Linked DNA regions of Danio rerio. The protein of the gene in region 2 purifies or fractionates together with the protein of the main gene of each other region. This does not show direct contact. Links are inferred from orthologs where the notes say so. Each region holds a gene or a part of one and is shown on either strand. Other genes may lie near its edges. The genes, in order: rnf114 and parp12b.

The links.
Region 1: the proteins of parp12b (region 2) and rnf114 purify together in Homo sapiens (affinity purification with mass spectrometry; 3 studies listed by BioGRID and IntAct, counting the BioPlex papers as one, with this or other methods). This does not show direct contact. The link is inferred for Danio rerio from reciprocal best matches to the Homo sapiens genes PARP12 and RNF114.

The regions. Positions count from the first base shown.
Region 1 is NC_133198.1:3,521,965-3,526,423, reverse strand, and holds the start of rnf114 (E3 ubiquitin-protein ligase RNF114), read left to right. Parts: upstream 1-1,360; 5' UTR 1,361-1,869; coding exon 1,870-1,988; intron 1,989-3,988; coding exon 3,989-4,139; intron 4,140-4,459. UniProt on the Homo sapiens protein: E3 ubiquitin-protein ligase that promotes the ubiquitination of various substrates. In turn, participates in the regulation of many biological processes including cell cycle, apoptosis, osteoclastogenesis as well as innate or adaptive immunity.
Region 2 is NC_133179.1:10,382,048-10,386,385, reverse strand, and holds the start of parp12b (protein mono-ADP-ribosyltransferase PARP12b), read left to right. Parts: upstream 1-1,337; 5' UTR 1,338-1,449; coding exon 1,450-1,787; intron 1,788-3,801; coding exon 3,802-3,937; intron 3,938-4,338.

The DNA.
Region 1 (4,459 bases), on a different chromosome or scaffold from region 2:
TATATCCAGATAAATACAGACTTAACTAAAACATAAAAGAAAATAAATTAACTAAAAATCTATTTAAATATTCAAGAATGAATAAAAACACGTAACCTCAATATAAAAACTTTTACAATATCAGCAGCTATAGGTAAGACATTATTTACAATAGACAGCAAGTTTTCTATTCAATTAGCTTCAACTCCTTTGCAACTATCATCGTATTTTGACATTTCTTGCTATCAATACACTGTAGCGAGTATATTTAAAAATTAAAATCTATAATGAATACCTTTAAGATTTAGTATTATTCCTTCTACGGATATGAAATTTACCAAATAAAATCAAAATATTCATTATAAATTCCACAGATAGTTTGTTTCAGTCAAAATAAATTAGCACATGATGTTAAATTCCATCTAAAACCCGATACATACAGAGATAAGTCATCCCAAAACTTCTTTTAATGCTGACATTCAAAAGACTCTGAATGATCTAAACAGAATGAACAATTTTCATCAATTTGCATGAATTTAGATAATGTATTAATACTAACATAAATGTTCAAATCAATCATTCTAAAAAATATCCTCTAGGCTTTAAGGCTCTGTTTAAAAAAATACCTTTGATTGTACATGCTTTACTAAAAAAAATCTAAATAGTGTACACAGGATCAGTTCTATGAATTCTATTTTAAATGTGAATTGTTCCATTGTTTATGAATGTCTGGATTTTTATATTTCTACCAACAAATTTTTTGAGAATAATATTAAATAATACACAACATGTGAAATAATAATTTTTTAAGTAAAAATTGCAACATATAACTAAGAATTGCATTTTTAAGATTATTCTCAATTGTGAAATTGTATGTTAAATGCTAATATTTTGATCTACGTTTCTAACAAGACAAATGCAAGAATTGCGAGGTCAGATGTTGTTTTTAGATTTTACAGGCATTTATTTACTATTCTGGGATAAAAAAAAAGCTATGTAAAAGTTAATTAAGATTTGCGAGATATATAACTGTCACATATAAGTATATTTTATTTTCTATTTGAATGTTTATTTATTTTAATGAATCGAAGTATACTTTTTAGATTACTTTTCTAAAACGTCGCCCGTATTCAAGTTTCACTCCTAAAAATGTTCTACTTTCATTAATTCTGGTAATAAATGAAAGCAATTATTCTAATTTGCTTTGGAAAGACTTCCCCCTTTGTGTAATGTAATTATATATATATATATATATATATATATATATATATATATATATATATATATATATATATATATATATATTAAATATAAATATATATGTAATTAAATATATAGTTTAGGGTAGGCTTAGAAACTTTTTTGACATTTGTAAATCATATACTATTTTCTTTTAATTTATGATGATGTAAATATCCTTATGCATTTCTTTTAAAACATTTTTATTTAAAGTTTTCATTTTTTTTTTCTTTATACTGTGACTAGATTTTGCATTGCCCATCAATAATAAAAAAAGTAACGTCAAAAAAACTTCTACGTTCTTATTTTACAGTCTGATTCAACCTCCAATCGAGTCATTTTCACATTCATTCATTCGGTCGGTCATTTAAAAGAGCCGGTTCAAATGACTCGTTTATGCATCGGAGAGCACTAGCGAGATCTCGCTTATAACTACGCACGTAAAAGACAACACAGCCACAACAGATGTAGCCTACTATATGTTGCATTTATTTGTTAGCAAACGGCTATTTTTATTTGTCGTACGTCTAATAAGAGCTGTAATGTTGTTTCTCGTTCATGTGCATCAGGAGATCAGCTGAGTTGTTGCTCCTCCCCTCACAAAAGTGAATCTCACTGGAGTTCAAGAACACGGAACACAGCGCAGCAGAAATGGCCATGCTCAAAATAGACCCGCAAACCGACGTAAACGATGCTGAAGACGACGACTTCGTGTGTCCCGTGTGTTTGGAGATATTCGTCCGGCCCATGACCACGCAGTGCGGACATACGTGAGTATTCTGGAGAGCTCATGTCTGCTAGCAGCAACTTCTCGGTTGACATGTTGAGTAGTTTAATGTTAATCCCCTCATCACCTCAAAGCGATTCACAACCTTCGTGACCTCCGCCTTAATCTTAATGTGATTGTGTTGGACACTGTTCAGTAAGTGCTGTTGTTGTGCGATTTTTTTTATAAGACAGAAACTGGTTACTTTCAGTTTTGCTTCTTGTGTACAAAACTTTGCAGTGTGGGATTGTGGGAGTTGTAGTGTACACGTAATTAGAACCGGAAAACAACACCCAGCGCCTGTCTTGTCAGATCAGATGTGGCCTTTCAATTACAAGCATTCCTGGCAAACATCAGTTAAAAGTGCAAAATAATAGCATTTACAGAGTATTTGTATTTGGTTAAGGTGCTGTAGGCAGTGTAGGGAAGGCGGTTTTTAAAATGTATTTCACTTTAGATTAATAACGTGTATTTTTAAAAAAGTTAAGTTACTCAATCTGTTTGGAATATTAATTATTAATAGAGCAGTAAAGAAAAGTGGAATCCACAAAACATTAGACATTTTTAATTCATTTTTATTTATATATCAGTTACTCAAAAAGGCAATATAATGATTTTTAATGAACAATTGAGGTAAATTGTACTTATTTAGTATTAGTATTAGCTGCTGAAGCACAGTGATAATTGAAAATGTATACTTTAGTTTGTGTAAAAGTTTACACCCCCTGCTCTTAATGTGAATGTGCTGAGTGTCAGGAAACATTTTCACTTTCGGTAAATGTTTTGCTTGAGTTCGTCAGTAAACATGGGCATCACAATCACACAGTCACTGTTGTAGGGCTGTAAAAATATAAAGAAGACGCAGTAAACTGAAGAATTTGCAGGAGCTGAAGGCCTTTTCTAAACTACAGCAGCTGGTTGAACTCTTCAGGACAATCAAATGACTCATTAAAAACCATCACAAACATTCATACAGTTGATTCAGGGGTGTGTAAACATTTCAACAGGATAGATTTAGTCAGTTATTATTTTGTCTTATATGTAAATATCTAGCTCATGTGGAGTAGTACCAGTGGTGTAGCGGACGGGCCAGCAGGGCACGCTCCGCGGGGGGGCCCCGCGTGATTAAGGGCCCCGCCTTGTTGCGATTTTTAATAATTGAAAATCCGGCAACCACAATAATCAAACCCCTGGGAACAACTGTGGTCGGAACCAAAGTTCCCAGGTCTGTGTTCTCTCAACTCCTCTCAAACGGTGGACTACTTCATTCTGATTGCTTGCCGCCGAACCACATCATAGCATATTACCATAAAGTTGACTTGATTTCAAGTCCTCCTCGATGCCCACACCGGAGAAGACTCGACGCGCTGCTCCTCGCCACCGGTTCTCATTGAAATTGAAGGACTTCCGGCTACTTTGACGCTCTCGCTGCTTGTTTGTGAAGGCTACCCCGCGTCGTCGCTCCACCCCGCCCCCCTTTCCCGCTCCTTAGTTTGTGATGGCTCCTCAGTTTGTGAAGGCTTCCCCGCGTTGTCTTTCCACCCCGCCCCCCTTTCCCGCTCCTCAATTTATGATCGCTTCCTCGCGTCGTTGCTCCACGACTCTCCGTGTCCCCTCAGTTTGTGATTTCCCCCCCATCAGTGGGCCCCATTAGTGATCCCTGCAGGGGGGCCCCCACATTTTGCGCTATGCCACTGAGTAGTACTCAAAACTAGCATTCACTATGATCCATCCTATTTTGTTGAAATTATTAAAATTATTGTATTCTGCAAGGCAGGGTGTGTAAATAGTACTCATAGTACTCTTCGTTATAGTAGTAGTACTAGTCATCGTCATCGTTATGGTAGTAGTAGTAGTGGTGGTGGTGGTGAATGATGCATAAGCTGGGGACACTTCAGCAATGTCCAGTTCATATATTCTGATGAGTGATTTTTTTTGTTTAATTATTTTTTGTTTTCAACTGAAAGCACTCAATTGCAGTGTTTTTCTCTCTCTTCCGCTCAGGTTCTGTAACGACTGCCTTCAGGAGTGTCTGCGGCCCCAAAGCCCAGTGTGTGCCGTCTGCAGGACTGATCTGCGCAAGTGGGCTAAAGATGACCATTTACAAGACCTTATGAAGAGATCAATCGGAAAGTGCAAAGGCTGTAAAAATGAGGTCAGTCAAGTTTACATGGACACCAATAATCTAATTATTTTTCTTAATCTGAATAAGATCTGAATATGATTAAGGTGTTTACATGAGTGGCTTTTTGAATGTTCCTTTCATGTTCCGCTTTTACATGTTATAGCACATAATTAAATTAACGTCATTACGTCAGCAACAGCAGTTTGTGTCTGTCATGGCACCATATGTTGGGCTCATGATCCAGTTCATTTCTCATACTATAGGCTCTATTTTAATGATCTAGGCACAAAGTCTATATCGCAGGGCGCAAAAGCATTTAAGGGCATGTCCAAATCCACTTTTGCTATGGA
Region 2 (4,338 bases):
TATTACTCTGTTCTATTCTATCTAATTCTATTCTATGTTATTCTATTCTGTTCTATTCTATCTTATTCTATTCTATTCTGTTATATTCTATTCAAAATAGCCAGAGATCTATTTTTAGCTGTAATTGAGCTACTTGCGGTATTAACTATACATCCTACATAACCCATTATTATTGTTTTTAACTCAGTGTTATTCGTATTAAAATAGGTCTTGTGTTCATAACACTTGTTTGTATTTATAACACTTAGATTTATTGTTACATTAAGTATAATTAATACATATAAAATTAATAAACATATTATAAACAAAATGAAAGTGGCAGAAAAAAAGTAAATATATCTGCCTGTTTGTCTGTTATGGAGTCAGAACAGTCGCAAAAATGATACATTTGTATTCATAAAATTAGTAAAGTAAAAACACAATTCATAAATCCACAACTTTAATTCATAAATTCATCAATAGGGTATATGCAGAAGTATGCAGAAGGACTTTTAATTTTGCAGTAATCTGGGTCAATTAACTGTTTGCAGTTACAAAATCTGCACGTTTAAGGTCTGTTTTCCTTACGAATCAATGATCTCCACTGCCTGATAGATATACGATATAAAGTGGGTCTCAGATTGTACAAGAAGCATTACATTAAATTACATTTTCTCGTGCCATGTCTTTAAAATATGAACATTCATTTTGCTCCAGTATTTTCAGCTGTGTTTCTGCAGTAGCCTGCTGATACTGACAGGAGCATGCATGTAAATGGCTTTTCATCTCGGTTTACGCTTCGACAACTAAATGAATGCTGAAGTCTATTGAACTGATCATATTTTAATTACATTACAACATCGATGCTGTAAAAGGAATTGTATAAAATTTTAAAAAGTCACATTAACCGTTCACCGGAAGTTTATTGGTATGGGAAGAAAACAGTAGATGAGCAAATACCCTATTCAAATGTAAAAAGCAAAAATATTTCCCAAACGCTCACACATATCTTAAAAACATTTAAAATGGATTAAAATGGTTCTTGGGTTACTTTCCTCATGCATTTGTGAACATGTTAGATGTATTTATGAACCCCTGAATGTGCATTGGAAAGTGCTCCCAAGAATATGGAGTCCTTTAAATTTGTGTGGGGTATTTTTAAGACCTTTCTGGCAGGACATGATTCGATACAAATCTTTTTTTGGAGGAGTTGTGGATTTATGAATAGTGCTGTGCATTTATGAATTTTATAAACGCAAATGTATTGTTTTTGAGACTGATCTGGCTCCATAGTCTGTCCGTCATAGTTGTTTTCACGAGACTTTTATTTTGAAAATGATTGGCACTGGAAACTTGGTACCGAATCTTAGCACTACGTTATTGCAGTTTCCGCTTTCATTTATGTAGAAACGAAGACTCAAAAACATCGAAGTACAGTCAGACTGGAGCCCACCCGAGGCTCTCATCTCTATGTCCGATATGTCGGACTGCACTCGGGTCATACATTATGCGACCAGCATATTATGCAGCAATAAAGGCTCCATGGAAATGTCCCAGCTGCACCGGAGGGTCTTCCAGCGTTTTGAGATCAGCGAAGCAGATTTTTGGTACATCGTCAAGAAATGCGCCCGCTTCGTTATGGTCCAGAGCAGACCCGGAGAGGAGGATGCAGAATCAGACTGCACAGTTGTCGCCAAGACATCTCTGAGACTCTGCAAGAAATATTCCAAGAATGAATGTTACGAGTGCCAAGACTTGCACCTCTGCAAGTATTTTGTCTACGGGAACTGCAGATATGGAAAAGGAAGGTAAGTTTGAGAGAACATTTTTAAGCGGTATCTCTTTAATGTAAGATTTTCCTGTCATGTTAGTGAAAAATAAAAATATATGGTAATTAATAAAATGTTAATGATGTAGTTTATACATAAAATACACATGCGTTAAAGGGAAAGTTCACCAAATGACAATGTCCTCACCATTTACTCACACTGAGCTGTGGAAGTCAATAAACCGCTTTGTTTTTCCCAATTCTTCAGAGTATCTTCCTTTGAAAACATAAAAAGAAACTCAAATAGCTTGGGAAAGTGAGTAAATGATGAAAAAAAGTTCAGTTTTTGGGAGAACTATCCCTTAAATGCAAAATAAAATTGTTATTCAGTTATAAGTATTAATTTATTGAAATTAATGATGTCAATTTATTATTGTAGGTTCTGTTTAACCCATTGATCATTTTGTGTAGTATAGTTTTATGATTACTTGGCCTTCTTTGCTTTTGTTTATTTGTTTTTTTAAACGCTTATAAACATGCATTCAAATATTTTGATGCACTTTTTAAATGTATTTTTCCACATTTCAGACTGATAGTATAACAAATATGATTGAATTTAACTTGGCCAACAATTAATCATTTTTAAATTATTACAATCAATATAATTGTACATAACTGATTATTATTACAGCATTATTCATTAATAATAATACTTTTTCATTATAATAAAAAAATGCTTAAATGCTTCATATTTTCTATGGGGATATAAAATATAATGATTGATTGTTTAAAAATACAAAAAATCTGCATATTATATAGCATACACTTTAAAACGCAGTTTGACTACTTTAAAAAGTGAGTAAATCTATTGAAACTTGGAACGGTTAAATTGATTTTAAGTTTTATAATTATGCATATAATTTGTTTACTTAATCATTTTAAGGTAATGAGATTACTTGTTTCTCCTTTGAAAGCATGAAAAGGAAGTCAAATAGCTGTGAATGATGAAAGAATGTTCAGTTCTTGGCCGATCTTTCCCTTAAATGCAAAATAAAATTGTTATTTAGTTATTAGTATTAATTTATTGAAATTAATAATGTCAATTCATTATTGTAGGTTCTGTTCGACCCATTGATCATTTTGTGTAGCATATTTTTATGATTACTTGTCTTATTTTTGTTTATTTGTTTTTTTGAACACTCATAAACATGCATTCAAACTTTTATTTTTCCACATTTTAGATTGATATAACAAACATGATAGAGTTTAACCTGGCAAATGGTCAACGTTTGTTCATTTTTTATTTATTACAATCAGTATTAGGTTTCATTTTATGTAACAGATTATTATTACAACATAATGCATTAATAATAATACTATGTCATTAACATCAATAATAACACACAACATTGCAATTTAAATATATGTATTTTTCAACATAATTAGACTAATAATAATAATAAAAAATGCTTCATATTTTTAATGGTAGTATGAAATATAATGATAGATTGGTTAAAAATACATCAAATCTGCATAAAAACAAATAAACCTATTGTCTTAAAAACAACAAGTTGACTTTACTCTAAAAAGTGAGTAAATCCATTGCCATTTGGAATGGTTAAGACAGGGGTGCGCAAACTTGGTCCTGGAGGGCCGGTGTCCTACAAAGGTTAGTTCCAGTCCCAATCAGACAATCCTGGGCTAGCTAATCAAGCTATAGCCTTTCTAGAAACATCCATGCGGGTGTGTTGAGGCATGTTGGAGCTAAAATCTGCAGGACACCGGCCTTCCAGGACCGAGTTTGGCCATCACTGGGTTAAGACTTAACTTGAATTTTATAATTATGTTCATAATTCATTTTCTTTATAGATTTAAGGCAATGAGTTACCTCACTTTTTTAAGTAAAGCCAACTGATCGCTTTAAAAGCAATGCGTTTACTCACTTTCCTTAAGTAAAGCAAACTAATTGCTTTTTACAGCGTCAGAGTGTTAATGTTCAGTTTCTCTTTGTTAACCAAACATCATTCCATACATTTTGTGTTTGTGTTAATCAGGAAGGAGTGTAAATTCTCTCATAACATCCAGTCACAGCATAACTATCCCCTGCTGCGCGAGTGTACGCTTCATGAACTGAACGAGGACGATCTTTTCCTGCTTCTACTCCAAAACGATCCCGCCCTGCTGCCAGAGGTGAGGAAATGCAAACAGGAAGGCTAATTTAGTCACCTAAATGTTTTTGGACTCCTTTCTCTTGAGAGAATTCCTGCCCAAAGCCGAACTCATGCTATGATTGGGATATTTCTGCATTCCAGGTACCTGTCCTGCCGTTTGAAACACCAATCTCCTTTCAGATGCGTTCAGAGTAGATCAGAGTTCACGTAACCGCTCATATGTTTGTTTTGGCATGCAAAAATCAGCTGCTTGGTTACACCCAAAAAAACAGCGTCACAAGTTTTGAAGTAATCGAATATTCGAGTATACATTTGGTCAACCAGAAAACACCAAGAATTTTTTGTAGTGTTATATCCCGGATAAGAAGCAATCTGTGCAATACCACCAATTAAAATAGATTTTTTAAAAGAGAAACAAAG